Saccharomyces cerevisiae S288C: one gene and its partners. The protein of the gene in region 4 binds, or shares a complex with, the protein of the main gene of each other region. Each region holds a gene or a part of one and is shown on either strand. Other genes may lie near its edges. The genes, in order: EMC4, EMC6, EMC5 and EMC2. A codon is read from its position in the direction of its gene.

What was found.
Region 1: the proteins of EMC2 (region 4) and EMC4 are in contact, whole or in part, in a cryo-EM structure (PDB 6WB9), measured with the Saccharomyces cerevisiae proteins. Residues at the interface, in NP_012621.1 of Saccharomyces cerevisiae: Glu146 (codon at 5,522), Leu149 (codon at 5,513), Lys150 (codon at 5,510), Val153 (codon at 5,501), Thr156 (codon at 5,492), Asp157 (codon at 5,489), Trp166 (codon at 5,462), Tyr173 (codon at 5,441), Phe174 (codon at 5,438), Glu175 (codon at 5,435), Met176 (codon at 5,432), Gly177 (codon at 5,429), Gln178 (codon at 5,426), Phe179 (codon at 5,423), Glu180 (codon at 5,420), Lys181 (codon at 5,417), Tyr184 (codon at 5,408), Cys185 (codon at 5,405), Glu205 (codon at 5,345), Tyr208 (codon at 5,336), Tyr209 (codon at 5,333), Leu212 (codon at 5,324), Arg213 (codon at 5,321), Leu241 (codon at 5,237), Lys242 (codon at 5,234), Ala245 (codon at 5,225), Leu246 (codon at 5,222), Ile249 (codon at 5,213), Glu253 (codon at 5,201), Lys280 (codon at 5,120); in NP_011283.1 of Saccharomyces cerevisiae: Gln4 (codon at 1,542), Glu5 (codon at 1,539), Pro6 (codon at 1,536), Tyr7 (codon at 1,533), Trp9 (codon at 1,527), Ala10 (codon at 1,524), Lys11 (codon at 1,521), His12 (codon at 1,518), Leu13 (codon at 1,515), Leu14 (codon at 1,512), Thr16 (codon at 1,506), Tyr18 (codon at 1,500), Ile19 (codon at 1,497), Glu20 (codon at 1,494), Tyr22 (codon at 1,488), Asn23 (codon at 1,485), Ile24 (codon at 1,482), Gln25 (codon at 1,479), Ser27 (codon at 1,473), Thr29 (codon at 1,467), Leu30 (codon at 1,464), Pro31 (codon at 1,461), Ser32 (codon at 1,458), Pro33 (codon at 1,455), Pro34 (codon at 1,452), Gly35 (codon at 1,449), Phe36 (codon at 1,446).
Region 2: EMC2 (region 4) and EMC6 share a complex: the UniProt entries of both Saccharomyces cerevisiae proteins name them as parts of the ER membrane protein complex.
Region 3: the proteins of EMC2 (region 4) and EMC5 are in contact, whole or in part, in a cryo-EM structure (PDB 6WB9), measured with the Saccharomyces cerevisiae proteins. Residues at the interface, in NP_012621.1 of Saccharomyces cerevisiae: Met1 (codon at 5,957), Leu5 (codon at 5,945), Val6 (codon at 5,942), Lys9 (codon at 5,933), Thr12 (codon at 5,924), Ile13 (codon at 5,921), Asn15 (codon at 5,915), Thr16 (codon at 5,912), Lys17 (codon at 5,909), Ala18 (codon at 5,906), Tyr19 (codon at 5,903), Thr20 (codon at 5,900), Gln21 (codon at 5,897), Phe22 (codon at 5,894), Pro24 (codon at 5,888), Glu25 (codon at 5,885), Gln26 (codon at 5,882), Leu27 (codon at 5,879), Leu28 (codon at 5,876), Gln29 (codon at 5,873), Glu33 (codon at 5,861), Val62 (codon at 5,774), Tyr63 (codon at 5,771), Arg64 (codon at 5,768), Asn65 (codon at 5,765), Asp67 (codon at 5,759), Gln97 (codon at 5,669), Ile98 (codon at 5,666), Asp102 (codon at 5,654), Lys131 (codon at 5,567); in NP_012237.1 of Saccharomyces cerevisiae: Glu69 (codon at 3,981), Gln72 (codon at 3,972), Tyr73 (codon at 3,969), Leu74 (codon at 3,966), Pro75 (codon at 3,963), Ile76 (codon at 3,960), Glu77 (codon at 3,957), Asn79 (codon at 3,951), Lys82 (codon at 3,942), Ile83 (codon at 3,939), Leu95 (codon at 3,903), Asn96 (codon at 3,900), Lys97 (codon at 3,897), Thr99 (codon at 3,891), Asn100 (codon at 3,888), Asp102 (codon at 3,882), Asn103 (codon at 3,879), Leu104 (codon at 3,876), Ile105 (codon at 3,873), Gly106 (codon at 3,870), Ser107 (codon at 3,867), Asn108 (codon at 3,864), Pro109 (codon at 3,861), Asn110 (codon at 3,858), Gly111 (codon at 3,855), Glu112 (codon at 3,852), Ile113 (codon at 3,849), Ile114 (codon at 3,846), Phe115 (codon at 3,843), Thr116 (codon at 3,840).

What each region holds. Positions count from the first base shown.
Region 1 is NC_001139.9:62,070-70,129, forward strand, and holds EMC4 (chaperone EMC4), read right to left. Parts: upstream 1,552-8,060; coding exon 979-1,551; downstream 1-978. Other genes in the region: TAN1 (putative tRNA acetyltransferase), read left to right, coding at 6-62, 121-933; YGL230C (uncharacterized protein), read right to left, coding at 1,703-2,146; SAP4 (Sap4p), read right to left, coding at 2,434-4,890; SHE10 (She10p), read left to right, coding at 5,529-7,262; glucose-induced degradation complex subunit VID30, read left to right, coding at 7,602-8,060. UniProt on the Saccharomyces cerevisiae protein: Part of the endoplasmic reticulum membrane protein complex (EMC) that enables the energy-independent insertion into endoplasmic reticulum membranes of newly synthesized membrane proteins.
Region 2 is NC_001144.5:116,771-124,737, forward strand, and holds EMC6 (Emc6p), read left to right. Parts: upstream 1-4,551; coding exon 4,552-4,878; downstream 4,879-7,967. Other genes in the region: ATP-binding cassette bilirubin transporter BPT1, read left to right, coding at 1-4,341; mRNA-binding protein PUF3, read right to left, coding at 5,305-7,944. UniProt on the Saccharomyces cerevisiae protein: Part of the endoplasmic reticulum membrane protein complex (EMC) that enables the energy-independent insertion into endoplasmic reticulum membranes of newly synthesized membrane proteins.
Region 3 is NC_001141.2:299,920-307,847, forward strand, and holds EMC5 (Emc5p), read right to left. Parts: upstream 4,186-7,928; coding exon 3,760-4,185; downstream 1-3,759. Other genes in the region: E3 ubiquitin-protein ligase SSM4, read right to left, coding at 1-90; EMA17 (Ema17p), read right to left, coding at 910-1,338; cohesin subunit IRR1, read right to left, coding at 4,558-7,928. UniProt on the Saccharomyces cerevisiae protein: Part of the endoplasmic reticulum membrane protein complex (EMC) that enables the energy-independent insertion into endoplasmic reticulum membranes of newly synthesized membrane proteins.
Region 4 is NC_001142.9:581,417-588,986, forward strand, and holds EMC2 (Emc2p), read right to left. Parts: upstream 5,958-7,570; coding exon 5,079-5,957; downstream 1-5,078. Other genes in the region: AIM24 (Aim24p), read right to left, coding at 1-200; EAF6 (Eaf6p), read right to left, coding at 498-839; ACF4 (Acf4p), read right to left, coding at 1,192-2,121; YJR084W (uncharacterized protein), read left to right, coding at 2,317-3,588; TMH11 (Tmh11p), read right to left, coding at 3,704-4,021; STE18 (Ste18p), read left to right, coding at 4,652-4,984; BIR1 (survivin), read left to right, coding at 6,302-7,570. UniProt on the Saccharomyces cerevisiae protein: Part of the endoplasmic reticulum membrane protein complex (EMC) that enables the energy-independent insertion into endoplasmic reticulum membranes of newly synthesized membrane proteins.

The DNA of each region.
Region 1 (8,060 bases), on a different chromosome or scaffold from region 4:
TAATTATGGGTGAAAAACGTAACCGTAATGGTAAGGATGCAAATTCCCAAAACAGGAAGAAAGTATGTCTGTCTGCACACGAATTAGAGTTCTTTAAGTACTAACGATCAAAAGTAATAGTTTAAAGTATCTTCCGGATTCTTAGACCCTGGTACGTCTGGAATATATGCCACATGTTCTAGAAGACATGAACGTCAAGCAGCCCAAGAGTTGCAGCTTTTATTCGAAGAAAAATTTCAAGAACTCTATGGGGATATCAAAGAAGGAGAAGATGAAAGTGAAAATGACGAAAAGAAAGATCTATCAATTGAAGACCAGATAAAAAAGGAATTACAAGAATTGAAAGGTGAAGAAACAGGCAAAGATTTATCTTCAGGGGAGACAAAGAAGAAAGACCCCTTAGCCTTCATCGACTTGAACTGTGAGTGCGTGACATTTTGTAAAACAAGAAAGCCAATTGTTCCCGAAGAATTTGTGCTAAGTATCATGAAAGACTTAGCGGATCCCAAAAATATGGTTAAACGTACTAGATATGTTCAGAAATTAACACCTATTACGTACTCTTGTAATGCAAAAATGGAGCAATTAATCAAGTTGGCCAATTTGGTTATTGGGCCACACTTTCATGACCCTTCGAATGTTAAAAAAAATTATAAATTTGCTGTAGAAGTGACAAGAAGAAATTTCAATACGATTGAAAGAATGGACATCATTAATCAAGTTGTGAAGCTGGTCAATAAAGAGGGTTCTGAGTTTAATCATACTGTGGACTTGAAGAACTATGATAAATTGATTCTAGTGGAATGTTTTAAGAGCAATATCGGAATGTGTGTAGTCGATGGGGATTATAAAACCAAATATCGTAAATACAACGTTCAACAGCTTTATGAATCGAAATTCCGAAAGGATGAAGATAAGAGTGTAAAACAATAATCATATATGAAACAGAATAGATATTTTATATAAGTATATACGCTCTCAATCGGAAAACCATTGTAATCCATTATTATAATGAGCAATTCGTTCCCAGGGTAGCCAATCACCCTTAGCGTTAGGAATGAGACCCATTGAATTTAGTTTCCTGTATCCAATGTACATTAAGACGCCTTGGAATACGATATACATGAACATAGCAGTTTGCACTTGACTTTGTGTTGCTTTATTACCCAACACTGGTTTGAATGCACTCCTTGTTGAAAATATTGCTTTAATGGGTCCAGAGAGTAGCATGAGGGCAGTCATTATAGGAATGATTTGTAAGGATGTACCGGACATATACGACATAAAAATATTCATCGGAATAGATTTGGCTGGTTGTAACGCAATTTGCCATGCCTTCTGTACTTGTAATACTGTTATTTGGTTTTTTTGTGCCAAAGAAGTAGTTTGAGATGTAGCATCTTGTTGTTTTCTTGTAACATTTCCTTTAGAGGAATTACCTTCAAATCCTGGTGGTGAAGGTAATGTGTTTGAGTTCTGAATGTTGTATTTTTCGATATACTTGGTGTCCAATAGGTGTTTAGCCCATTCGTAAGGCTCCTGTTCACTCATTTCTGTTGCTTATATCGTTTGGCTTTATTTTAACCTTAACTGATATTATGTTCAACTTTTTTTCATTCTATTTATATAGAAAAGAATACGCTTTTTTTATTATTTATGAAAGGAACATGAAAAAACTACGAATGTACAAAAGCAGAGATTGCTAGAGAATACATTGGTCAAGAATTTTCGCATATGGAACGCATTGCTCTTTTAGATGGGCTGTTAAATAATCGTAATTTAGGTTAGTTATTGCCCTTTGCGTCTTCCGTGGAACAATGTTGGTCCAATAAATTATAAAGAAAAGAAATTGGATAGCACAAATAAAAGAGCAAGCGATAATGCAAAACATTAAAAGTCTGTTTTCCATTAGTTTGTAATATTCTGAGGTCATCAATAAAAACCATTTTTTCGTTCTTGTAAAATTGTATCTCTCATCTGTATTGGATTTTTCGACCATTTGAAAATCATCCTTGCTTTTTCCTTTATATTCAGTCGAGGAATCATTTGCTGTATTAGGCTCTGGTTGAGAAACCTCTTCAAGGCCCTTTTTTGGGTAGGCTTTCAATAAATGTAGAACATTGCCGGATAGTGTAATAATTCCCATTATTATGGTTTTGTTTTGCCTGGTTTGGGCCTGACTTTAGTTATATGATTATTTTTGTATAGATAGCTATAAGTTATTGAAAGTAAGCTAGACAATAATTTTTGGTGAATAGTTGGTGAACATTCCTGAACTACAAAGGACTATTGTTATATTTAGTTTACTTCAATTGGCCCCCAATAGGCTTCGTAATTTTTACATGTCACAAAATTAAATAAGGCAAAACGAGAAACAAAATATTAAAAATGTAGGAAAAAAAAAGTCAAAATTGGTTTGACGACTTAACCTAATCAATTTAAGTCGGAATGATGATCAACAATAACATCTTTAATTTTATCATGAATATCTAATTCGGTTAATTGACCCAATTCATCTATGAGCTCGGCAACTTTATCATGCAACTTAACATCCTCCTCGTGAACAATTTCATTCTCATCCATTGTGGATGGATGAGCTGGTTTACTCATATCAGCTTTTTCCAAAAAGTCCTGGTTAGTATTTTCATCGCTTTCGGCACAGAACTGGCCTCCACCAAGAATTATTGAACACATTGTCCTTGTTTCGTTCAAGATGTCACTAGAATATGACATCCAAACTTCATCTTGTAAGAAGGCATATATATCTGGAGCAATTAGATCGGTCTTATAAATTTTGGAATACTTCGCAATTTCTTCGGCAATTAATACTAATTGACCCATATAACCTAAATTTGTTTTCTCTTTTTCGTAAAATTCAAACGAATCCTTGTGGCCTTGTAAAATGAAATCAGAGATAATATGGAAGTCTTTAACAGGTAACTTTTGGTTGCTGCCGTACAAAGGTTTTGGGATAAATCTTGTAGACTTTTTGAAATCAAACAAAGAATAGACCAAAAATGAGTTATAAGAAAAATCCATTCGACCATTGAATATCTGCTGAATAATATCAAATACAATGTTGTGCCAAAAGTTATTCCAAGGATATCTTAAGAATAATTGTAGAAACTTTGGAAAAAACCCAAGGTCATGAAGTTTAATTTTGAATAAATCTCCAATGGTAGGGTTTTTACGTATTTTCAAATTTTGCGTTTCACTGACGTAAGGAATTTCAAAACTCATATCATCATCATCATCAATATTGTCATCAGATGTATCAAAAGTAGAATACAATTCATTATCATGAAACTTTTTTTTAATATTTTTTTTTTGTTTTTGGTTGTCATTACTGTCATTACTATCATTATTATTACATTTATCTTCTAATGTATTGGAAGTAATAGTATTATCATTTATATTTAAATTTTTCATGGCTTTCTCTAGTGAGTTTTGATCAAGAGTGTCCCTGCATTTATCTCTGGTACGTGCTATTTTTTCGCCTCTTTTTGAATTCATCAATCCCATATTTGAACAGTGTAACATTTCCGATATCAATTCTGTAATCTTGACTCTTTCAAAGCCCAAAGGCCTGAATGATTCATGCAATTGGTTTTCTAGTAGGTGATGCTTAACAGATGGAAGAGCTTTTGAAGCAGTGTCATGATCATCGTCATCATCATTTTCAAGTTTAATTAGTAATGCATAAAAATCTTCCATATGCATAGTGAGCTCATATAACAAATGGCCCAAATAGACTGGATCTCTTTGAGAAGGCGGATTGTCTACTATGGTGGTACTTAACAAATCTACTTCGTCATAGTCGGAATTATTCTTCCTGATCAACTCAATTATAATAGATACGGCAACTCCCATTGCATGGCCTCTTTGAAATAAGATTATATTAATAAGTTGGTCGACATATTGCGGAGAGGCAAGCTGTCTTGTCAATCGGTTAGGTCCGATCCACAAAGTATCCAGTTTAAAATTGGTGGAAATGCTGATCAGTGCTTTTAGAAGCTCTCCGCTACTGTTTTGAATACCAGGTGAGTATTTGCTATTTTCCAAGAGATTCAAACACTTAGGTATCAGATCCTGGTGATACAAGAAGTCAATAATGTTCGTAGGTGATTCAACTTGATCAGTCAGCATGATTTTAATGAGAAATTCAACCAAGGGTGAGACTTCAATATGATATAAGAACTTGTCCACAATGTTCGGTTGCGATTTGAAAAATTCCAAATAGCTAGATGTCTGTTCAAACAGAAGAGTTTCGTTAATCTTAAGGAAAACAGCCAAGATAGGACAATTTTCTGCCTCAATATTTTCAAACTGGAAAACCTCGAACAGAGAGGACAAAAATGGGGTATTTTGCACGAGTGCCTCCACTATGGGCGCACTTTTCGAACAAAAAATACTGGAAATAATGTTGACATACAGCATTGGGTCTTCATCGTCCTGATCTTCATATTCACCTGTTTGATGGAATGAATTCTCTAAAAGAAATGGGGTTCTATAACCAGTGCGGTCTATGTCCTTCAGGTAAGCCATCAACATGTCCACTAGGTAGTCCATGTGGCGGACCTGCTGGGAACGGTCGTCATAGAAATATCCCAAGCAAATGAAGTCGACGAGTCTGTCGTTGGCTGCTCCATTCAGTTCATCCAGCAAAGCTGTTTCCAACAAGATCCTATCAATAAATGACTGGTTAAGGTCACTCCTATCCCGAGACTCGGTACCAAATTCGGACTCTGACTCCATAGAAGGCTCATTCTTCTTGTCGTCAGTTGAAGAGGTCTCATTTCCCTCCAAACTACGAAAAATTAGATAGTACTCTTCAAGTATCGAATCAATTCCGGAATGACTCAGCGTCTCTCCAAAGGGCCATAGTGACATATTTTTATTTTATTTTAGCTTTATCGAAAAGCAAGAGAGCAGTAAACTGGACGGTATAGAAGAAAAGAGAACTTAATAACAAAAGACCAGATTGTCTATAACTTTATCTCACACCAAATACCAGGTTGTCCTTTTCCCGCTGGGTGAAGCAACCGTTTCACTTATTCGCACAATCCAATTAGTAGAACACAACACAACACAACACAACACAACACAGCACAACACGCTTACCAAATTATATTTACTACGGCAACCAAAAACCGACAGAATAAAAAACAGCCATCATACGTGGATGAACTCTTGGTTTATTGTCTGTTATTATCCTCGAGAGTTCTTATTTAGGGGATTTAGGGCTGGCATCAATACCCTAACTAAACCCTGAACTGCCCAAGGAACAATTTTCAAAAGTAAGAAATGTCCTATACGTTTCTATGTATAACCCTAAGATAGTCAGGTTTCGGAAATAAGGCGGATTTCTACGTACATGATGATAATCATGTATCAAAGAAAGGATCAACTTGAAGAACAGCCTTAAAGTAAGCGTAATGGGCATTCTGTTTCAACCACCATTTCTGAAGTACTTTATATCTTGGATGCACAAAAGCTGTTACATCTAAACAAGAACGCAGCGTAACGAAATGGGAAAGCTGATAAAGTTAATCACAACTCTGACGGTGTTGGTATCGTTGCTTCAGTACTGTTGCGAATTCAATAGTGGGAGCATATCGTGTGAACGCACGCAAACGCTTTGCCATTATACCAATCCAAGAGTCTGGAACACCTACTTTTCAAGAAATTGTGAATTATACAAAAATAAAGTTAGTCCCGGTTTCGATATAGTGGCGCGTAAATATGACACGGCTGTCAAACCTGTCATCGATGACGCTACAGTAAAAGTGAACAAGGTCGCTATACAGCCTGCATTCAAGGTCATCCATTCACAATGTAAGAAATGGAACTGTGGAAAGTATTACCAATTGGTCCGCTCCCCAATGGTCAAGACTAGACGATTTTTCTTCGCAAAATACAATGCTTTTGTGAAACCTAACTTAGACAAATTCTTTACTGCGGAGTTTCGCTCTCATTTGAAGGAAAGAATTTTAAAGTATAAAAATATAGGCCATTATTACTTTACTATCACTTCAAGATGCATCAAATCCAAATACGACTTTATTGTTGGTAATACAGAGGAAAAATTAATGGGAAAGTTCAAGAATAAGGACACGCATGGCATTCATGGTTCTGTCACACGTGAGCCTTCCTCGGAGGACATGGTTTTAACCGTAAGTACTATGGAGTCTGACGAAGAGGAGCTAACTACAACAAGTACTCAAACAGTGGTTGAAACAATTACTTTGGACCAGGAAGAGGCTAGCGCTGTTGCTAATCATGCGCACGACGATGAGGCTTCCACAGACGTTGAAGGCTCCACAGACGTCAATGTCAATGAACAGGCTCTGTTGCAAGAGGATTTTGACATGTGGAGTGAGACTATATTGCAGAAAACACAAGACGTCATACAGCTATTTGAAAAGGATGTTTCCAAATACATCAATGGTAAATTGGTTGAGGAGGCCAACCATTTTAAAGCCAAGTTTCAATCTTTAGATGATAAATCTAAGAAGTTCTTCTCCAAGATTTCGCTAGCCATTAACGATATTGAATGTGTGGAAGGCATTGATAGTGAAACTGGCAAGAAAATTTTCTTCGATAAATCTGGAAGTACTGAGATTTCTCAGTACATAACGAGAGAGTTAGTTCGTGAGTACTTCAACGAGACGCGCTCGACGTTAGACGAACTGACAAATGCTATGGAGAAAGATTTGAGCGAAATCACTGATGAAATTGAAAAAAAAGTTAATGCAATTAGAGAGGAAAACGTCGAGGTATTTGAAGAATGGGGTGATATCATTGTAAATGAATGGTCCAAAAGAATGGCTTATGTGGATGTTATCAACGCTCACATGGGTGCAGATGATGACACTACGCTTGATGAAGAGAAAGCAAAGTCTTCTGTTAACTGGAAGAAGTTTTTGAAGGGCAAGAAACAGATCATAGAATCTAGAGACAAGCTGGCTCACCATTCCGCTGACTTATCCCGTGTTAACGCGTTTAGGCAAAAAGTGCAAAAGAAGATATTATCGTTCACTCAAGAGAGTGGTGAGTTTTTGTATATTCTAAGATCGAAAGCCAACCTGCAATTTCAGGAACGTGAAAGAAAGGAACGTGAAAGAAAAGAGCGTGAAAAAGCTGCAGCAGAAGAGTTCCAAAGGCAGCAGGAGCTATTACGACAACAGGAAGAAGAAGACGAAGAAGACGTATCCTACACCTCTACTTCGACCATCACCACAACCATTACCATGACATTGTGATGAAATTCATGCGCTTGCTATACACACACACACACACACACACACACACACACACAATATCTATCTATATATATATGTATGTTCTTTATTGTTTGTCTTTACCTTTATATATAAACATATATAGCCATATAAGAATATAATATTACCACTCCACTGTATTTTGTATCCTGCCTATTTTTGCTAGATTACAGGACGCGCGAGCCTTTCAGGGGAGGGAACTGATGAATCGATCAACCAAAAGAAAGAGCCAAAGGATTGGACCAGAACTGTTACTGTTATAGCAGAAATATTAGTAGTACGTTAAAGCCAAGCGTCGAATTTCAGCATAATTAAGAGGAAATGTCTGAATATATGGATGACGTAGACCGCGAATTCATTAACTGTTTGTTCCCGAGCTACTTGCTGCAACAGCCTGTGGCTTATGATTTATGGATTTTATATTTGCAACATAGAAAACTCTTTCACAAACTGAAGAACACTAACTTAATCAACGCTGATGAAAATCCCACTGGCGTTGGAATGGGCAGGACAAAGTTAACTGCTTTAACAAGGAAAGAAATCTGGTCTAAATTGATGAATTTGGGTGTTCTAGGCACAATTTCGTTTGAAGCTGTCAACGACGATTACCTGATTCAAGTCTATAAATATTTCTATCCAGACGTTAATGATTTTACTTTGAGATTTGGTGTTAAAGATTCAAATAAAAATTCAGTGCGAGTTATGAAAGCTTCCTCAGACATGAGGAAAAATGCTCAGGAACTATTAGAACCCGTTTTATCCGAACGTGAAATGGCGCTT
Region 2 (7,967 bases), on a different chromosome or scaffold from region 4:
TACTTGAATCTCCTTTTCAATTTGGGTATTTCTCTCCCTACTCAATACTTAGCTTATTTTAAAAGTACATTTTCAATGGGCAACCAGCTTTTCTATTACATGTTTCAAATTCTTCTACAGCTCTTCTTGATATTGCAGAGGTACTATCATGGTTCTAGTAACGAAAGGCTTACTGTTATTAGCGGACAAACTGCTATGATTTTAGAAGTGCTCCTTCTTTTCAATTCTGTGGCAATTTTTATTTATGATCTATGCATTTTTGAGCCAATTAACGAATTATCTGAATACTACAAGAAAAATGGGTGGTATCCCCCCGTTCATGTACTATCCTATATTACATTTATCTGGATGAACAAACTGATTGTGGAAACTTACCGTAACAAGAAAATCAAAGATCCTAACCAGTTACCATTGCCGCCAGTAGATCTGAATATTAAGTCGATAAGTAAGGAATTTAAGGCTAACTGGGAATTGGAAAAATGGTTGAATAGAAATTCTCTTTGGAGGGCCATTTGGAAGTCATTTGGTAGGACTATTTCTGTGGCTATGCTGTATGAAACGACATCTGATTTACTTTCTGTAGTACAGCCCCAGTTTCTACGGATATTCATAGATGGTTTGAACCCGGAAACATCTTCTAAATATCCTCCTTTAAATGGTGTATTTATTGCTCTAACCCTTTTCGTAATCAGCGTGGTTTCTGTGTTCCTCACCAATCAATTTTATATTGGAATTTTTGAGGCTGGTTTGGGGATAAGAGGCTCTTTAGCTTCTTTAGTGTATCAGAAGTCCTTAAGATTGACGCTAGCAGAGCGTAACGAAAAATCTACTGGTGACATCTTAAATTTGATGTCTGTGGATGTGTTAAGGATCCAGCGGTTTTTCGAAAATGCCCAAACCATTATTGGCGCTCCTATTCAGATTATTGTTGTATTAACTTCCCTGTACTGGTTGCTAGGAAAGGCTGTTATTGGAGGGTTGGTTACTATGGCTATTATGATGCCTATCAATGCCTTCTTATCTAGAAAGGTAAAAAAGCTATCAAAAACTCAAATGAAGTATAAGGACATGAGAATCAAGACTATTACAGAGCTTTTGAATGCTATAAAATCTATTAAATTATACGCCTGGGAGGAACCTATGATGGCAAGATTGAATCATGTTCGTAATGATATGGAGTTGAAAAATTTTCGGAAAATTGGTATAGTGAGCAATCTGATATATTTTGCGTGGAATTGTGTACCTTTAATGGTGACATGTTCCACATTTGGCTTATTTTCTTTATTTAGTGATTCTCCGTTATCTCCTGCCATTGTCTTCCCTTCATTATCTTTATTTAATATTTTGAACAGTGCCATCTATTCCGTTCCATCCATGATAAATACCATTATAGAGACAAGCGTTTCTATGGAAAGATTAAAGTCATTCCTACTTAGTGACGAAATTGATGATTCGTTCATCGAACGTATTGATCCTTCAGCGGATGAAAGAGCGTTACCTGCTATAGAGATGAATAATATTACATTTTTATGGAAATCAAAAGAAGTATTAACATCTAGCCAATCTGGAGATAATTTGAGGACAGATGAAGAGTCTATTATCGGATCTTCTCAAATTGCGTTGAAGAATATCGATCATTTTGAAGCAAAAAGGGGTGATTTAGTTTGTGTTGTTGGTCGGGTAGGAGCTGGTAAATCAACATTTTTGAAGGCAATTCTTGGTCAACTTCCTTGCATGAGTGGTTCTAGGGACTCGATACCACCTAAACTGATCATTAGATCATCGTCTGTAGCCTACTGTTCACAAGAATCCTGGATAATGAACGCATCTGTAAGAGAAAACATTCTATTTGGTCACAAGTTCGACCAAGATTATTATGACCTCACTATTAAAGCATGTCAATTGCTACCCGATTTGAAAATACTACCAGATGGTGATGAAACTTTGGTAGGTGAAAAGGGCATTTCCCTATCAGGCGGTCAGAAGGCCCGTCTTTCATTAGCCAGAGCGGTGTACTCGAGAGCAGATATTTATTTGTTGGATGACATTTTATCTGCTGTTGATGCAGAAGTTAGTAAAAATATTATTGAATATGTTTTGATCGGAAAGACGGCTTTATTAAAAAATAAAACAATTATTTTAACTACCAATACTGTATCAATTTTAAAACATTCGCAGATGATATATGCGCTAGAAAACGGTGAAATTGTTGAACAAGGGAATTATGAGGATGTAATGAACCGTAAGAACAATACTTCAAAACTGAAAAAATTACTAGAGGAATTTGATTCTCCGATTGATAATGGAAATGAAAGCGATGTCCAAACTGAACACCGATCCGAAAGTGAAGTGGATGAACCTCTGCAGCTTAAAGTAACTGAATCAGAAACTGAGGATGAGGTTGTTACTGAGAGTGAATTAGAACTAATCAAAGCCAATTCTAGAAGAGCTTCTCTAGCTACGCTAAGACCTAGACCCTTTGTGGGAGCACAATTGGATTCCGTGAAGAAAACGGCGCAAAAGGCCGAGAAGACAGAGGTGGGAAGAGTCAAAACAAAGATTTATCTTGCGTATATTAAGGCTTGTGGAGTTTTAGGTGTTGTTTTATTTTTCTTGTTTATGATATTAACAAGGGTTTTCGACTTAGCAGAGAATTTTTGGTTAAAGTACTGGTCAGAATCTAATGAAAAAAATGGTTCAAATGAAAGGGTTTGGATGTTTGTTGGTGTGTATTCCTTAATCGGAGTAGCATCGGCCGCATTCAATAATTTACGGAGTATTATGATGCTACTGTATTGTTCTATTAGGGGTTCTAAGAAACTGCATGAAAGCATGGCCAAATCTGTAATTAGAAGTCCTATGACTTTCTTTGAGACTACACCAGTTGGAAGGATCATAAACAGGTTCTCATCTGATATGGATGCAGTGGACAGTAATCTACAGTACATTTTCTCCTTTTTTTTCAAATCAATACTAACCTATTTGGTTACTGTTATATTAGTCGGGTACAATATGCCATGGTTTTTAGTGTTCAATATGTTTTTGGTGGTTATCTATATTTACTATCAAACATTTTACATTGTGCTATCTAGGGAGCTAAAAAGATTGATCAGTATATCTTACTCTCCGATTATGTCCTTAATGAGTGAGAGCTTGAACGGTTATTCTATTATTGATGCATACGATCATTTTGAGAGATTCATCTATCTAAATTATGAAAAAATCCAATACAACGTTGATTTTGTCTTCAACTTTAGATCAACGAATAGATGGTTATCCGTGAGATTGCAAACTATTGGTGCTACAATTGTTTTGGCTACTGCAATCTTAGCACTAGCAACAATGAATACTAAAAGGCAACTAAGTTCGGGTATGGTTGGTCTACTAATGAGCTATTCATTAGAGGTTACAGGTTCATTGACTTGGATTGTAAGGACAACTGTGACGATTGAAACCAACATTGTATCAGTGGAGAGAATTGTTGAGTACTGCGAATTACCACCTGAAGCACAGTCCATTAACCCTGAAAAGAGGCCAGATGAAAATTGGCCATCAAAGGGTGGTATTGAATTCAAAAACTATTCCACAAAATACAGAGAAAATTTGGATCCAGTGCTGAATAATATTAACGTGAAGATTGAGCCATGTGAAAAGGTTGGGATTGTTGGCAGAACAGGTGCAGGGAAGTCTACACTGAGCCTGGCATTATTTAGAATACTAGAACCTACCGAAGGTAAAATTATTATTGACGGCATTGATATATCCGACATAGGTCTGTTCGATTTAAGAAGCCATTTGGCAATTATTCCTCAGGATGCACAAGCTTTTGAAGGTACAGTAAAGACCAATTTGGACCCTTTCAATCGTTATTCAGAAGATGAACTTAAAAGGGCTGTTGAGCAGGCACATTTAAAGCCTCATCTGGAAAAAATGCTGCACAGTAAACCAAGAGGTGATGATTCTAATGAAGAGGATGGCAATGTTAATGATATTCTGGATGTCAAGATTAATGAGAACGGTAGTAACTTGTCAGTGGGGCAAAGACAACTACTATGTTTGGCAAGAGCGCTGCTAAACCGTTCCAAAATATTGGTCCTTGATGAAGCAACGGCTTCTGTGGATATGGAAACCGATAAAATTATCCAAGACACTATAAGAAGAGAATTTAAGGACCGTACCATCTTAACAATTGCACATCGTATCGACACTGTATTGGACAGTGATAAGATAATTGTTCTTGACCAGGGTAGTGTGAGGGAATTCGATTCACCCTCGAAATTGTTATCCGATAAAACGTCTATTTTTTACAGTCTTTGTGAGAAAGGTGGGTATTTGAAATAATGACATTGATTATTATATATGAAGATATAGAACATTTAATGCGCTGCAATATGTACGGTCACGCCAATTCTTTTTCTTTCTATATGCTTTCTAGTAACCCGGGTAATCACAAATGAAGCTAGTAGAGATATAACTAAATACAACTTAATTTTAACCTTATGTTGGATTGCTCAAGCAGTGTTCGAGAAAGACAGCGGCAGACAGATAGAAATGAGCTCAAATGAAGAGGTATTTACTCAGATAAACGCAACTGCGAATGTGGTTGATAATAAGAAGCGTTTACTTTTCGTGCAAGATAGCTCAGCACTTGTTCTAGGGCTTGTTGCAGGATTTTTGCAAATCGAGTCAGTCCATGGGTTTATTTGGTTCCTGATTCTGTACAACTTGATTAATGTCATTTACATTGTTTGGATCTGTCAACTTCAACCAGGAAAGTTCTACCAAAGCCCACTTCATGACATTTTTTTCGAATCGTTTTTTAGAGAGATAACTGGTTTTGTCATGGCATGGACATTTGGATACGCCCTAATCGGATGAACATATAAGAACTACTTCTATAAACGGTTAGAAACAGGCTTGATTTATTATGTACAGTAAATATAATGTTATTTGTGTTTTTTTTTTTTAAATTTTTTTAGTTCCTTCTATGTAAAAAGACATGACAACAGTATTCTCAGTCAAATGATTTCAAATACACAATGTTAAATTCTCTATCTGTTGCAGAAATAAGAAGAGCGTAAGAGCGCAAAGATTTTTGCAGAAAAATAGAGATGAGGTACAAAAAGTAGGTAATGGAAAAAAGCAAATAATGAATATAGGGGAACATAAATGTTATGGACAAGAGTAGATATCAAAATAAAACAAAATAAAATAGAGTAAGTGAAAGACAAATGGAGGAAAAAAAAAAAAAAAAAAAAAAAAAAAAAATAGTAAAAAGTGAAAGGAGAACGATGATAACACTAATCACACCTCCGCATTTTCAACCAATGCTGCAAGTTTCTCAACACTGGCTAAATGTCTATTTCCTAGGGAGTTAGATTTGTTTAGTTTATCCAAATATGCTCTAATGGCAATGACGATCAATTTCTTACCCTCACCCTCAGAGACATTAACTAATTTTTGAATCACATAGTTGGCAAATTGATCCTTGATCATTAAAATCATTGGAGAATCGTCTTCCAGATTCAAAGCATGATTTTTGTCTCTTGGTAAAATCTTAGAAATTATTAAATCCTTCTGATTTTTAGAGCCATAAAGAATAGATTTTTCGACCACGTTGGAGGCAAATTTATGTTTAGAGTATTCGACAACATTATTGGCCACAGTTTCTATGATTTCCTGTTTGATATCGACCATTTCCTTATTGGTGAACTGATCTTGTTGCAAAACATATTGAATGACATAGTTACCATATTGGTCTTGAATTAGATATGGTATGAAATCTTTCAATTCGTTTAAAATGCTTTCCTGATCTTCGCTCGAACCAAATTCTAACAATCTTTGAATGACCCTACAGCCGTAGGAGTGGGTAGATAGATGGTAAATGTGGCCAGTTAAAGAACTTAAGATAAAAGGTAATTTTTCGATAGGAATTGTTTCGATGGCCTTTTGAATTACGTGATTACCGTTCTGATCTTTGATCATTTGCAAAACGGAGTCAGATAATTCCAGGACTAACTCAATTCTTTGATTGGAATCAATATATTCTAACGCCTTTTGAATTACACGACATGCGTACATTTGTAGAGATAACTGTTTCATGTTACCTTTAAATTGATCAACCAAAGTATTTTTTTGAATTTTGCTACCAAATTCAAAAAACTTCTGAATGACGTAATTACCAAATACATCGTTCGAAAGCTCAATGGCGTCATCGCGAATTTCATTGAATATGACCTCCTTTTCTGAGGCTGGTGAGGTGGCCAACTCGCGCTGAATGAACCGTGAACCATGTTGATCTTTGCAAAACTCTAAGGAATGGCCAAAGATGTCTTTTAGTGACATGTTCGAGTTTGAATTTTTGTCAGAACTACTGTTTCTTAGTTGCTCTAACAACGGCGATCGATGATACGTTTGCTGCTGTTGCTGTAGACTTTGAGAATGAGGATGAGAATGAGAGTGAGATTTATGGTTGTTGGCCGTTGACTCATTAGATTTGGAAGAAGCATTCTTTTTAGAGGTATTCTTTGTGGGTATAGAATTTTCTAGATAAGGATTTGCCTGTTTGTTGGCGTTGTTGGAGTTATTTGCAGGATGATTCTTGTTATTTCTTTTCTTGAAGGTTTTTTCGTCCTTGGGCATTTTGACAGGTATAGGATTTGGAGTAGGGTAGTAAATATAAGGATTCTCCTGTTGCTGTTGCTGTTGTTGGTCTTCTTGTTGTTGTTGTTGTTGCTGTTGCTGTTGTTGCTGGGGAGCAGAGAGTGGTGGAGGTGGCATAAACATCATTGGGTTGGGGTAGGCAAACGGGAACGGAGAATTGTTTGGAGGGGACGAAGGTGAAGAAACAGAAGAAGGTCTGTTTGCCTTCTTCTTTTTCTTACCATTTGAGTCTTCGGTGTCTTCATTTGCTGGAATCTGTACTGAAATCATCTGGGAGATGAAATTTGAAGGAGATCCGATCAAGTAGTTGGGGAAGTTTTGGTAATGAGGGCCCTGATGAAACTGATTGGGTGGGAAGCCGTTCATGTAGGGGGGGAAATTGTTATTTGCAGGCCCATCTTGTTGGTTAGGAAGCGCGACATTTGTGGCCCCAACAGCGGCTGGATTGTTACTAGGTCTAAATACTGGTGTGTTGGCTACGTTCCAGATATTTCTCTTGGGGTAATGAGCATTTTCGGACTCTAAAGACGCAGATGAGCCTGAATTTGAACTGGAGTGGTAAAGCGAACCACTGTTAGTAGTGTTCCTATTCAATTTGTTGAAGTTTTTGTCAGACTCGACATTTTGCTCGAAAGTATTCTGTGTGTCTAAGCTGGCGTTAGAGACGCTTTTTGATATGAATTGGGACTGAGTATTGACAGCGTCGGGTCTATCTTGAGATTCCAGTTCCCTTGTACCGTCAATCAAAGATTTTCCGAACTTCTCAAAAAACCCTTCCCCACCAGAGTTGTTGTTGTCATTGCCATTGTAGTAAACGGGACCAGCAATGGAAGCTGAATACTGGCCCAGAAGATGGTTGACCTTGTTGTTTTTCCCGAGATTAGCCGCAGTATGATGAGTATGATAGTTATTGTACGATGCGGATGACAGGGAGGCAGTGTCGGTTGATCTGTACTGGTAATAATTGCCGCCGTTACCAAAAAACTTTTTCGAGTTCGTGGAGAATGGCGGAGCAGTACCAACTGATAGGGCGGTTTTCTTGAAGATCGGTGAAGATTCACTGGAACCGTGAAGCAGCAAGATCTCTGAATCTACTTCATTTGCCGTGGTGAAACTCGACCTTCTGAAGCCGCCAATTTGCTGTGATCCAGCAGCACCGCCGTTCACAATGCCGGCCGCGGCGGCCTGACCGCCGTTGTTGTTACTATGGGACAGGGCGCTTAAAGAAGAAACTATGGATGCGAGTTCCATATCCATATCCATATCCATGTTCATTTCCATTTATACCCGCAATATTGCGTTAT
Region 3 (7,928 bases), on a different chromosome or scaffold from region 4:
ATTGAAAGTGGCGGTATCTGTTTCCTCGTTTGCCACCTTATGCAGTTCATCTCTTAACCTGGAGACATTAACGTCAGAATCAACATCCATGACTTTCACACTTCTAGTCTCTTTGATTCAATTAGTGGTACTCTTGGCTAAAAAAACAGTTTTTGAAATCAGTAACAAAGAACTATTCTTAACGTAATCTTATGGCTTCATAGATCGGTCATAATCATCTTTTCAATGTCCTCAATCGATGCGTTTTCAACCAGTTTTCCGTCTCTAATGATTTAATTTTTCTATTGAATTGAAAATGGTAAAAAGATAGCCCTGTAGGGGGCTCGAACCCCTAACCTTATGATTAAGAGTCATACGCGCTACCGATTGCGCCAACAAGGCTATTTCGTTGGAAAAACTACTTATTTTAGGAAGTAATAGCACATTTAAGATGCTTGTTGGAATGAAACTTTAAAATATCATCTGTTTAGTACTATTCATGTTACTAATTAAGATATGGGTGAATTTTGAGATAATTGTTGGGGGTTCCATTGTTGATAAAGGCTTATAATATTATGTATACGGAATATACTAGAAGTTCTCCTCGAGGATCTAGGAATCCTCATAATGGAATCTATATTTCTATATACTAATATTACGATTATTCCTCATTCCGTTTTATATGTTTCATTCTCCTATTACATTATCAATTTTTGTATTTCAGCTTCCTCTAACCTCGATGACAGCTTCTCATAATTTACGCCATCCTCTTACACCGCATGTGATGCTATTACTACTAAATAGATAACATTAGAATTTCATTCCAACAGCTTTAGTCTGTTTTAATAAACGCAACAGCACCATAATGTTATTAATTTTAATAAAGCCAAATTATGGCCTGCTGATTTCTTTTCATTGGTAAAAGTTCTATCACCCGTTCCCCATTAGTATGATAACCGATAAATAAACTCTATTACCTGGTTTCTTCGTTCCAGGAACGTTTATACCCTGACTACACATTTCTTTTGAAAAATAGGCCAATTGAACAATTAAGTTAGAAGCGGTTAGAAAAAGGTATAATAGGAAAAAATGCATCCAATTTTTACAGTTGAACCACTTGGGGGATTTTATTCTCGTATTGTAGCGGGAGCATTTTATCTTCGTACATCTTGGAAGCTGTAGATTAATCTTATTCCTATATGCTCCTTCAATCCACACAGCAAACCCCCAAATGGAAACGATCACTGAGTATGTTATAAACCAGCTTACGCTTATACTATTATCAAAATTCAAAAGATTGAACGGGGAAAATGGTAGAAATGAATATTGAAGCATTTTCGCAATGAAAATTAACCGCATTGTTTTTATAGTAATTCTGATGGCTAACGGCGGTAATACAGCATCCTTACGAAGAGCGGGAATAGTTCATTTGCCCTCTTTGATGGTTTGCATAACTGCGTTGTTGATTGTCTTAGGAATGGAAATATTTAACAAATATACCTATAATGAAAAAAGGGTCCTTCTTTTTAATTATTATTGGCAGCGAAAAAGTTGTCCCAGCTTCTACTTTTTTTCCCGTTAAAAAAGGAAGCGGCGGAAGCTGATCTACTCTCTAATAATAGACTACTCACTCGCATCTTGGTAACGAGTCCCTTTAAGATCTTGGTACATAAAGTTTGCTGCAGCAAAAAGGGCTTATTTGCGCATTCATGATATTAAACAACACCCTGTTTAGCGTGTTAATGATCCTTGTTTTATGCCAGTATATTCTGTATACCTTATAATAGAGTCAACAGTTAAATCCTAATCATTACCTCAGGACTTACCTATTTCTGAATATCATGGTCCACCATTCTACCTCAGTGAATTGATTGAACCGCACCATTGGAATTGTCATGGTGAGCCAGCGTGCTACAACTTCATGATTTTACGAGCTGAAAAAACACGCCCTTAGGCATAAAAACTCAATGGAAATCTGTAAAACAAAATAAATTTCGCTTTTTAACTTGGCCTAATGGGAATACTTTAACAATTGAACCTGTCACTAAATCAGAGGAAGTACATGCCTAATTACTCAAAGCTGTATTTAACTAATTTACCTATACTATCGCCAGGCATTCAAGGATGAAGACATGCGTCAATGCAAATAGTGACGGCTGCTGCATTAAAGAGGTGCTGCGTGGTGTAGAAAAGGCAATAACATGGACGATGCAAGGTTATTCAGACGCGTTGTTTGTATGCCATTTCCAATGATAATGTTGGTTGCGTTATATAGAAATGTGTTAGGAAGAGATTCTACAGTTGATTGCAGCTTTGACGTTATACTTACACCTTGGATAATGGCCAGTATGTTTTCCAAACGTATGGTGAATTGGTCTAATCCACGTCAAGCTGTTTTAAAAGTATGCAGCGCAGCCGTGACCTCCCGGATAGTTGCCAATTGGTTGTTTACGATGAACATATTATATACCAGTGGTGAAAAGGGTTTTTACTCGCTAGCAACAGCTGTGGTAATTAAAACGGTCACTGATGGGTTTACGGTGATACGGGTTTTCTCTATTCACCTGAACGAGTCAGTATATAGCAAGCCATTACCATAACATTGGGTAACGTCGCACGCAACACAGCTGCGGGTGTGTGTGGTGATTGGTTAGTCAATTGGTCATTTGGGCTGGTAATAGGGCATGTTCCCCTTACAGCTTGTACTGTCTCATTGGGGTTTGCTCTTATTGCTGGAATAATAAATGGAAAGGTTAACGACGACACAAATGGTTTTCGACGACCAAAACAAATTAGCAAATGGCAACCTTTTGTATTAGGGCTAATTAATGTAAGCGATGTTACCATTTTGTCTATTTCTGGCGGTGGACTGGTAGCTTCTTCATGTGGAGGTGCAATAGGCTATGCTACTGTCATTAAAACTGTTGCTACCACAAATGCACGTTTCGCGATTACTGAGGTGATCAAGGAAATAGTTATTCGTTATTCATCACAATTAAATGCAGAAAAAGTTTGTGAAGAATAAAAAACTCGAGCCGGGTGGTAAATTGTTTTAGTACGGTTAGCATCGGTTTAGTACCTGTACCAATATGTGTCACTTTTGTTATTTCTGCAGGCGATAATACTTATAATAAACGCATACATGATATCATAACTGCCTTTATACGGCACCTTACAACTAGCATGGGCGTTCAAGTGGTGGAGAACTATTACCTGTTCCTGAAATAACAGAATGAATCATCAATAAGGGCTTGTCTGTACCTCAGGATGATTTGAACAAGTTCCACTTACGCTAACATGAGGATGAATATCGTACTTATACTATGTAAACTGGAATAGAAATATTCCGAACGGTTATCCATTAGAGTGTTAGCCCTCAAACCGAGACTCTCGATAATATTGAATAGAAGATTTTACCACTAAATTTAGTGTGTATTTATGTATCTTAATAACAAACTATCCAACGAAGACGCAAAAGATACTATCCGCCCCGTAATCCTTTTGAAACCACTCAAGCTTATGGTTCACGTTATAGAACACAGGAGACGCTTGCATTATTGGTGATTCTAATATAGCTTTCTATTCCTCTATGAAAGGCGTCTGTGTTGGTGTAAATAGAAGAGGTGCCTGGTCACCTGACGCCTTATTTTGTGCAGTTACGATGTTCGAGTAGATTCGCTATCGAATTTATGCTCAAAATCTAGCTAATCCTCTTATTAGATCTTGATATGTATATATGTATGAAATTATAAGTTCTAGCTCTAGTTTTCAGTATCTTATTTATTTTTCTTTTTTTACAGTGTTAGAGGCCCATTCCCTGCAAATTTTTCTCTTCATATGAACGTCAACAAAGCTTGGAGTAAATATGATCTCACCATTAGGGTTACTTCCTATCAAGTTATCCACGTTGGTGGCTTTATTTAATGCGATTTCTTTTAGATAGTTTCCTTGGGATATTATCTTCCCATCGTTACTCTCAATTGGTAAATATTGTAATTTCTCGAACGAAGTGAACACTGCAAGAACAAAGAGTATCAATCCTGCATACGTTTCATACATGATATCTTTAGGTAACTTGCTGATTGCACCTTGTGCATTATTAAGCGAGTTAAGTTTTAATAAGTGATGAAACTCATAGCTTGAGAAACCAGAATGAAATAACACCAATGCAGAGACTGTATAGAGAAGCTTGGAAACAAACGACATCTCTTGATAATTGCTTTTTTGTATCTCGGTAGGGCTTAATTACGATCGCTTTTTAGATGCTACAATTAACATGCATAACAACTATCTGAGTTGACTTTATTTTATATTCAAAAGTAGATTTTTCTGCGCTGCGTTTACATCGCGAGTTTTCGAAGAAGCAAAGGGCGCTTTGATGACGATTGAATGGGCTTGGAAAATACATAGCCGAATATCATCCAGCGAGTATAGTCTAATGCGAAGGGATATTTGAAGTATTTATGATTAATCAAAAACTGCTAACGAAGCTATGTATGTTCAAAAGAAAGATGTGATATATATTATAGATCTTATTGTTTTACAAAAGAGCAATAAGTCTGACGTATATCTTTTCCCTTAATCTTGTGTGATTTCGTCGCTGTTGTCTATAGCATCTACCACGGTTGGGTGTTCCTCAATTGGTGCTAACTCTGAATTATTTTGCGAACTTTCTTCAATAGGTTCTAGATCGATTGTCATGGGAATATCTGGATCATTATTTTCAGTATTTGCATGGTCGGTTTCTCGTTCACTGTTGGGTTGTAAAGGCGCTTTTTCCCTCTGTGTTTGATTTGATTTTGCTTTCTGTATGTTCTTTTTATTAGGTTCTGGATTTTCCATTATGGTATCATCTACGATTTTTTTGAACAGCGGGCCAAGCTTTTCTTTGTTTAGTGCCACACGGGAAGCAAATCGTTCATCTAAAATATTCAGTTTCATTAGTCCCTTCAATTTAACTGTGAATAAAAGGAATTCAGTTTCAATATTCTCGAAAAACCCGGTTTCCGGCAAATCATTTAGGTTGGCGTCTTCATCTGCTACCCTTTCTAATTGGACGTCAACTTGCTTAGCGAAAAGACTCTCCAAATATAAAAATATTTTCAAAAGCACTTTGGAAGCATTATCGTGAAGGTAAAATGGAAATTGTTCACTCATACTATATCTCCATGTTGTAGCGTCTGCAGGCAATTTGAGCTCAAATATTTTTATTGCAACGATTATATCCATTAATGAAGTGCAAGCTGACCATTTTAAGTAAAACAAGCTGTTTATGTTTTCAAATGTTTCGTTTGTAGCCGCCAATGAAATAACGAGTGTGTTTAGACGACCTATTATAGCGGCAATTGGTTTCCAAACTGATCTAAGATCTTTTGAAATAGAATTCTCGTAATCCCTTACTTTCTCTATTATTTCTCTCCATTTTTCCAGATTCCATGTGGCTAATAACACTAGCATTTTAAAGTTTATTTCTTGAGCGGTACTATCATCAAAATCTTGAAACATTATAGGGATACGGGAAACAAAATTGTTCAAAAACAGTTGCAACAACTCTTCATCAACCTCGATTGGGTAATCCCTGCCAAGAATTGTCAGTTTATTGATGTAGAGCTCGTACAAAGAACAAGTTAAATCTTTGTAGTCGTCCCTAGAATTATTTGGATCCATTTTTTCCTGTAGAAATTTTTTTAAATGAATTTTCAATGTAGCTATCTGGTTTAAAAATTTTTCCTGCAGTTCCTTTTTTTCAAAATGATGGATATGGTGAATGAATTTAGCAAATATATCGTACTTCATGTCAACTTTTGAATTCCCGATTGTAGAATCCATAAATGCTTTAATAGTTTTGTCGGTAATTTTTTTTAATTCAGTTTCATATCCAATAGATATCCAATCATCCAGAGAAAATGTGATAAAGCTCTCTAGGAGAGGACACAGAATATCAGCAGATTCGATGGATGCGGCATTCAACAAATCGTAGAATAAAGGCAAAACTATTTCCTTAACGCTGTCCTTAGTTTGGATTTTGGGGTTGTTGGCACCTGCACACAGACCGTGGAATACGTTCAGATATAAAATAGTGCTATTTCTGTCAATGGGAAACAATGGAGTGATGTCCAATTCCTCATCGTCAACATCCTCGTCATCGCTGTTATTATTGGCCGAGTTTTGTAACTTTTGGATCAGTTCATTTGATTCAGTGTCAGAGATCAGCAGATTGCAAATAGTTTTCAAGTGAGTGGAAATGTAAGGAGACAAAAACTCTGCTGCTTGTGTTAGCATACGGATCTTTGTCCTTGAATCAACTTCAGCGCAATCCTTCAAGTGATAAATTAAAGAGTCATTCAGAATCTTGATAAATATACCGACTTGAACAACGGGTCCAACTTCTAACCCGTCGACTTCTTTGGGCAAGTCTTCATGCGTCTTGATGAATTCGTCAAATTTCTCTTTTATTACTCTTGCTAAGAATTTGGCCACCGTGGATAGAAATTTGGATCTTTTATTGAATGAGGATGTTTTAAATGGGTCGAACTCTTCATCGAACATTAAACTAGAAATGATAAGAATCTCAGAATCATCTAAATAGCCCAATGATGACGCCTCCGTTAGAACTTGGATACTATGGATCCTTACATCAAGATTAACGTCACGGATTGCCACTTCCAGGATCTTAGTTTTGAAGCGTTCAAATACTTGGCGTATAGCGGAATTATCAGTGGATTTACTGTTATGATTTTGGATTATTAAATGCGGTAAAATCTTCGTAACTTGTAATCTGACTGATACAGAGTTATCGCTCAGCAGCCAGCCAAAATATTTTAAAAATGTAACCTTGAGGAAATATTCGGGATAGTTTTTAATCCAGATGGATAGATGCAACATGGATTCTGAACGAATCAAATCAGACACGTCCTTATACCTATGCACAAAACATAGTTTGACGATGTTATCGATAATGCTATCAATAACGACTTTGCTGCCTTGAGTTTCGGCGATAGTGCTCTCTAGCTTTTCTAAAGTCTTGTTATTGGGCCTTTTTTTCTTCTCTTCTAGTGATAACTGCTTGGATAACTTCGCCAAATAATTCTTTTCTAAATTAACAGCCTGTTGGGTCAAATAGTCCTGGAAAAGATATAGCGTTAGCGTAGAAATGTATCTGAAGCATCTGATTTTGCAAACTGAAAAAGAAGACAGCCAAGTCAACAAATCCAACACAAGATTACCAGTAACTATTTGGGTATCATCTTCGTCCGATTCCACGTATAGTAATTGTAAGTCATTTGCCACTTCCAACAATTTAGTCATGAATTCCGCGAAATTTTGATAAAGGGGACCCATTTTAAAGTTTTTTCTCTTTTTGTTTTCCTTGCTAATCAAGAGGTAAAATTCGTGCAGTTTCTGTCTTTGAAATAGCAACTGAATTTCACCAATCGTTTCGTTAGAAGATTCATTGCTGTGAACGTCGTGGTCTTCGACGCGAGCGACGGAGCCACAACAATTCAATAGCAAATTGATAAATTCTTGTAAAAATTTATCTCTATTTTCAGAATAGGTTTCTAACCATTCTCGCAATAGTTCTTCAATAGAAACATCTTCTGAAGTGGATAATATATCAAACAATTCTGTAGGTTGGAAATCCTTCGCAATTTCTAAGTATTGATCCTGATCTTTTTTAGAGCGGTGATAAGCAGGCGCATGAGATACCGCCGACTTCTGGGCAGAAGTAGGTTTTTTCTTCTGCCTTTTACTACTGGTATTTGATGCTGATTTGGGCTTTCTCTTTCTAGACTTTCTCTTTGCCGTAGCGGTATCTACGTAGTCATCATCATCCTGGTCTTCATAGTCATCCTCACTACTACTTTCTTCACTTTCACCAGTATCTTGCTCTTCTTCTTCTTCATGTTGCGTTTTGGCAGTGATCTTATCAGATTCTACGTGTTGTGCGC
Region 4 (7,570 bases):
ATATCTGGTTGAACAGTGATAGATGCAATTTTACCATTTTCGTCTACTAGCCTGAAACGGGAAGTCGCAATATCCTTGCTTAAGTTCTCGATATATGTCCTTTCTTTAGTTACGACATTACTCTCCGTCTTGGCCGCTTGTGGGCTCAAAAGAGAAATTGATCTCTGCCAAACTCGAGTATTCACCCTTGGGCTTATCATGATGGGTGGATATCCTTTTCTGTGCTTCTGTTTTGTTTATCTGTATCCGTTTATTCGCCAGCCAATAAAATGACTGGGAGCACGGGACCTTTGAAATTTTGCCCTTGTTAGTAAATCGTTATAAAAATACTTATATAGATATTTTATAGAAAATGAAAAATAAAAGAAATAGCCAATATGTAGGTATATCGAACTTAAAGGTCACCTGTCGAAATCATTTCCTTCTTCTCTCTTTTTCTTTTCAATCAGATGTTTTAGAGCGGTCAAGCAACGTAAATACCAACGTGTGCTATCGCATTAGTCGTTTTGTGATTGGCCATGCTGCTGCTTCACGTACGTAGCACTACTTAATGAAAAAATACGATCATTGTTATTGAATGCAGAATCTGCATGGCTGTGGTGTGACTTGGAGAAGGTATCAAACCCTTTTATGATGTTACCAGAATAGTGTGATTTTGACCCATGGGCTCCCCCATGACCTGAATGGTTGTTATTACTATTGTGTGAGAAATACTCGGTCTCTTTATCATATATCTCTTGTTGTAAGTTGTCAAAGGTATCTTCTTGCTCTCTTCTATCTTGGAGGGACTTTTTTAGTTCCGCTTTCAATGCTTCATAACTTTTCAGCTCATCAGTCATTTTCTTCTAGGCGTAGGTTGGTAACAAACGGAAAGATGATGGAAAATGGCTGTTCTCTAAAGATGTTTATCTTACGTATATTCTTTGCTTTCGTTGTGGCTTTACACACCTTTAATCATTAATTTAATGGCATAGTCGGCAAGTTGTTGAAGGACCTGGGTTAATCGCCTACATGTGAGGTTTTTTTAAAAATATCAATTACATTTAAAAAAGGAAAGCAGTAGTACCAAAAATCGGGCAAAAAAAATTTACCTAAATAAAGGAATGCATAAATGAAGCCGTTTAATCTTTGTATTTAATGAGAATATTACATATGAAGGTCTCTTGAGAAAGCATCAATAGTGGACATTAGCTACCTTTTAAATAAATGAACGGGTATGTCACCCATGGGTTCAAACTCTTCATCATCCTCGTCTTCACTGCGTACTTCATCGTATTCGTAACCCAAATTTTCTTTTATGTAATAGTGATCTTTCTTACTTTTCCTCTTTTCCAAAAGGTCATCGAATTCGTCCTCTTCCATATTCATTTGATTGAATTTGTTAAGTATTCTTTGTAAGAATGGTGTGTTCTCCCCAGCAGTTGCCGTGGTATTAGCATTCTTCATAGTATTCCTTGGGGGTAGCAAGGGAGGACCCGATGTTGGAGTTGATTCTGAACTACGGCTTGGAGCAATATTTTGCATACGTTGTGACCGATTAGGCGGAGGGTTCGGTTTACGATTGGGTAGAGTGTTATTTATGTTGCTATTAACATTATTATTGGGCTTACTAAAAAAATCGTTTATACTCTTTTTTCCCTTGAGCATATTTGGTGAATTATTTACGTCCACAAATGTCTGTTGAATTCTTTTGGTAAAAGTAGAGAGGTATTCACTTGGGTTCTGGTTACCTAATTTCTGTTGTCCATTTCGGGGCAGTGTATCTTTGAACTGTAACTCTAATTGTTTTAATTCTTTTTGGGCGACCTCTAATTTGAAACTAAGTTCATTGATTTCTCTGTGTTTTGCAGCTAATTTATATATTAAATCTTGGTCTGTTGAAATCGGACTTGCGTGGTCGCTCACGGGTGACTGATTTGTCGTAGATCTTTGCGGACTTGATATAGGTATAGCAAGTCTTTTGGGCTTTAAAGGTGTCGTAACCCTTGGTGATTTTGATTCAGGCTGCACTTCATGTTGTTTTTGATGCGGCTGTTGCTGCTGTCCTTGGGAGTGTTTATCGACAATCGACAGCTTATGTAATTCAATTGGTTGACTAATTACACGCTGGTCTTCTGACATTACTTTAGGGCGTATGTATGGATGTATTTTGTATTGCTTTTGGCTAGTTAGTAGTATTCCTCAATCGTATTGTTTTTGATTTTGAAAAAGCTAACGATAAAGGTCAGGAAAAAAAAAGAAAATTGTATGTAAAGGAATGTCTGGAGAGAGTTACACAGGAACAGAAAGGTCCAGCAACGGTTTCTACAACCAATCATGGATGTTGATATAGGATGTTATTTTGAAGAGAAACGCTATGACGACAAACTGTTAGACTTCATCAGATATGACGTTAAAACACCTAAAAAGACTAAATATATACTACAAAGGCCTACGGCGACAGATGAAGAGAGTGTACGATTACAAAGGTTTTACCAATTAGGAGTAGATCTAAAATTGAAGTATTCCAAGCGGAGGTCATTGAAGAAGCAAGGGCGGATCAAGAATGCTACTGAGGAATTGCTGCGATTAGCCAATGAACAGTTGAAACTTTTCAACAGAATAGTAGAAAGAGAAACCAATTGGATAATTTATCCGCTGTGGGTAATGGCTAAACAATTAATTCGTCTGGCAAACGAATCTAGTGAACTTAATAAAGACTCAATTGAGGAATGTGGACGCACTATCCATAGAAGCTTTACTATATGCCTCAATGATAGGAACCCAAGATTGAATGAAAATAAAAAAATCGGGTGTTATATGTTTGCTAATCTAGAGTTTTCCATCTACCATCGGTTAAGTAATAAAGATATGATTAAAAATTTAGTGAAAGTCCTCGAGAGCAGAGTGAACGCCCGGGATATACCACCGTTGAATAAAAGCCTGGCAATGGAACATAAGTCTCAAGTGGTGTTGTATAATTATTATCTAGGTCAATACTACGGATGTCTGGAAAACGATCACGAACGCGGGTTCTTCCATTTAAATGAAGCATTATTGCAATGTCCAATGCTATATGTGGAATCTACCGGCAAGTTCGTCTTACAGGGCCAAATGGAAAAGATAATGATACTGCTGGTTCCGCTTGCTCTTTTAACTAAAAGGTTGTACCCTCACTGGGATCATCCAGTAATCGCCGGAGTAATTACTAGGAGTAAGCGCTTAAGTCAAGTTTATCCGACATTAGTGCGTAGCGTAATCTCAGGGAACCTGTCACTGTACGAGGCTACCGCAGCAAGCCATGAAAGATTTTTCCTTTCGCAAGGATTGCATGTCGTCATCACATTACTTCGAGAGGTGGTCTTCACTCGGTTGGTACAACGATGTTGGCAATGGGGGAATGATCGGAAAAGTATCATGCCCTTGAAAATTCTTCTGGCAACAAAACAACACGATAGTTCTGCCAATGAGGACGAAGAGGAGCAGTTGGATGCCCTAGAATGCCGTCTAGCAAGTGCTATAGCAAGTGGGCTTTTGCGTGCTTATCTTTCTCACTCCAACCGCTGCATCGTTTTCAGTAAGAAGGAGCCCTTTCCCCATAGCAAATGATAGAAAAATAGTCAATAATTGAACGAAGAAAAAAAAAAGAAAGTTTGTTCATAAAAGAATATCATATTATATATATATATAGGGTCGTATATATATCGTGCGTCTTCTTCCTTCTCTAAGGGTAAAATTCCTTGTATTTGTTATAATAGTAGTAACTGCCGAGCCCACCCAAAGCTGTCAAAACGACAGGGACAGGTTTAGTGAACCTGGAAGGCATGCCTCTTATGACACCAGCACCAAGTAGTAAGGTCGATGCACCCAATGCCATTTCGAGCCCACCATCTCTATTCATATGTAGCAAGTAACCGGCAATCCCATATACACTACCGAATACTAAGCCAGATACTAGAGATGGAATGGAGCCCTTACGGTAGTATCCCATAAGGCCACCGGCTGTAGTCAAAAGACTCAATGTATATGCTGGATGTTCCATAGTGTGATCTGATGTTCCTTTCTCTCAAACTTCGTTTCTGTCTTGTCTCCCGCTGTTACCTAATAACTTCATGTGATCTGCTCCCCCTTCTCGTTAAATACCACCTTTTCATCAACCCCGTAGGGCGCGACACGTCTAAAATATTAACCTCTGAATACTTATTGGGTCAAAATGAATGTTGATAACTTTCCTTTACAAAAAAAAAACTAATAGAGTATATGCATTTCGGTAGTGAAATATTCGTTAATGCTAATATGCTCAGTAGTGATCCTAGATTACCAGTTTTACTGCAGCCATCGTACAATTTTGGAACGAGTATAAAGAGAGAAATTAAAAACGACAAGAAATATTCGTACTAGCTTCTCTTCCGGCTTGATGACAGTCTTAATATCATCTGCAACTCTTGAAATCTTGCTTTATAGTCAAAATTTACGTACGCTTTTCACTATATAATATGATTTGTCAATGTGATGAGTGAATGTCTCCCTGTTACCCGGTTTTCATGTTGATTTTTGTTTCAGGCTCTAAATGTTTGATGCAATATTTAACAAGGAGAACAGAAATGTTTTGTGACAGCACCTGTCAATTTTAGGATAGTAGCAATCGCAAACGTTCTCAATAATTCTAAGAATGACATCAGTTCAAAACTCTCCACGCTTACAACAACCTCAGGAACAGCAACAGCAACAGCAACAGCTTTCCTTAAAGATAAAACAATTGAAGTTAAAAAGAATCAACGAACTTAACAATAAACTGAGGAAAGAACTCAGCCGTGAAAGAATTACTGCTTCAAATGCATGTCTTACAATAATAAACTATACCTCGAATACAAAAGATTATACATTACCAGAACTATGGGGCTACCCCGTAGCAGGATCAAATCATTTTATAGAGGGTTTGAAAAATGCTCAAAAAAATAGCCAAATGTCAAACTCAAATAGTGTTTGTTGTACGCTTATGTAATGATAGTAATAGAATCCAAAAAAAAAAAAAATATACATGCTTTTTCATATCCTCTCTCACCCTATCTTTTTTTTTCTTCTAATTTTGGCTCCGTTCATATCTTATTCAAAATTAATTCAGCGGTAATCTTATCTTTATTGTTAGACTTCGCAGAAATTTCCTTTAGCTTCGATGCAGATAGTTTGATCAAGTCATTTTGTTTATTACGTCCCAGTTCGCGAGAAATGATGTTAACCAATGCCCACCCTTTTAGGTATAGTTCGCTAAGTTCAACGCTCCTCAAAGCATTCTTTAATGCCTTTTCCAAGAGCTCGGTCTTGGTTTGTTTCTTGCTACGTAGAGCCTCATAATACAGAGTCTCACTTAGCCTACCAAAACAAGCGTAATTGAATGGTGTAATACATAGGACCTGTTCCAAACAATAACAGGCTTTTTCAAATTGGCCCATTTCGAAATAAATCTCGCTGGCATACCACCACAATTCTGCATCAAGCGGGAATTTATCTGTAAGAGCTACCACTTCTTTAAGAACACTTTCTTGGCTCAAGTTCTTGGAAGTTGTCTTGATAGCTATCAATTTCTTTGCAATAGAGACATAAGTAACGAAGTCCGTTTCATACTCCAGATCATCATTCAACAAATTTTCCAGATATTCAATAGCGCCTTTATCATTTCCGTTTATCTGCAATAAAGTGGCTTTCATGATTACCATTTTATACGAATTTTCACCAAGACGATCTCTTAATGTATTATAAACAACTTGCGCATCAACGTCTTGGTTTCGGTACACCAAAACATAGAAAAGCATTTCCATCAAGAAGAAATAGTTTCCTTCTGTTAGTGCAGAGTCTCCGCTTTTCATGTAAATTTTCATTTCATTTTCTAGTTGCAGTAATTGTTCTGGATTAAATTGAGTATACGCTTTGGTATTCATAATTGTCAAAAGCTTTTCTCTAACCAAATCCTTCAACATTGTTTTATCTACTGCTTTCTATAATTTTCTCCGTTCCAATGCGATCCAATGCCTTTCATTCATACATAGTTATTTATTTCATTAACGATCCAAATCTCTTTACTTAACTTCACTAGTCAACGCTTCTAACACATCACGCGATACGAAGATTAACAGTTTAGTATAATATTGCAATACATACCCATTTCACACATCGGTCAAGGTCATCAAGCACTTTTAGTTATAGTGTGTCCTATAGTTCTTTCAGATTGATTGAGGTTTCATATTAGTGTTGAAAGCCTAGCTAAAGTTCTCTGGGCGTGCAACATTCGAGGACACATCGGTTGTTTATACCTCATGGGATTATGGATGGTCAAATAGATAAAATGGAGAAGCGATATAGCATGACCAAACTGGAGAATAGGTTAAGGACTTTCCAAGATGGTGTTGCACTTGAAAAAAAAAAGTTAAAGTGGAGTTTTAAAGTTATTCCGTATCAGGCAATGGCCAAGCTTGGATTTTACTTTGATCCAGTGATCGATCCTAAGACATCTAAACTGAAAAAAGACTCTGTAAGATGTTGCTATTGTCATCGTCAAACATACAATGTGAGAGACTGCAGATCCAAAAGAAAAGATGTTCTTGAGACTCTAAGCAATATAATGAGGCAACATCTGACTGTTACTGATAACAAACAAGTTTGCCTCCTTATTTACTTGCGCAATAAGCTATTGACGGACTATAGCTTCCATATGGGGGTTTCGGACTGGAAAAATGACAAGTACTTCAGCAATCCAGATGATGAAAACGTGATAAACCTAAGAAAATTTACTTTTCAAGATAACTGGCCTCACAGTGGTTCTCAAAATGAACATCCGCTGGGTATAGAAAAGATGGTGAATGCAGGACTCATGCGATACGACTCCAGCATAGAAGGCTTAGGCGATCCAAGCATGGATAAAACACTTATGAACGATACCTGTTATTGTATTTATTGCAAACAGTTGTTACAAGGTTGGTCAATAAATGACGATCCGATGAGCCGACATTATAAGGTTTCTCAAAATGGGAACTGTTATTTCTTTCAGACACGTAATCGATTTGAGAGAATAAAAAATGACAATGACAGTATCACGAAAAATTGCGAAGTCTCTCCAACTTTAGGCGAAAATGGGAAAAGAGAAGTGATCAACACGAAAACCGCTTCTCAAAGGCAGTGTCCTTTATTTGAGTCACCTCCATCTAGTACTGGTCCTCAACTTGACGATTATAATGAGAAGACAGATATATCTGTTATTCAACATAATATAAGTGTGCTTGATGGAGCACAAGGCGAAAATGTAAAACGTAATAGTGTGGAAGAAAAAGAACAAATCAACATGGAAAATGGAAGCACTACATTAGAAGAGGGCAATATAAATCGTGATGTTTTAGCAGATAAGAAAGAAGTTATTTCGACACCAACTGCAAAAGAAATCAAACGTCCAAATGTCCAGCTAACCCAATCATCGTCACCTATAAAAAAGAAAAGAAAGTTTAAGAGAATATCGCCTAGAAAAATCTTTGATGAGGAAGATAGCGAACACTCCCTTAATAATAATTCTGCCAACGGAGACAACAAAGATAAGGATTTG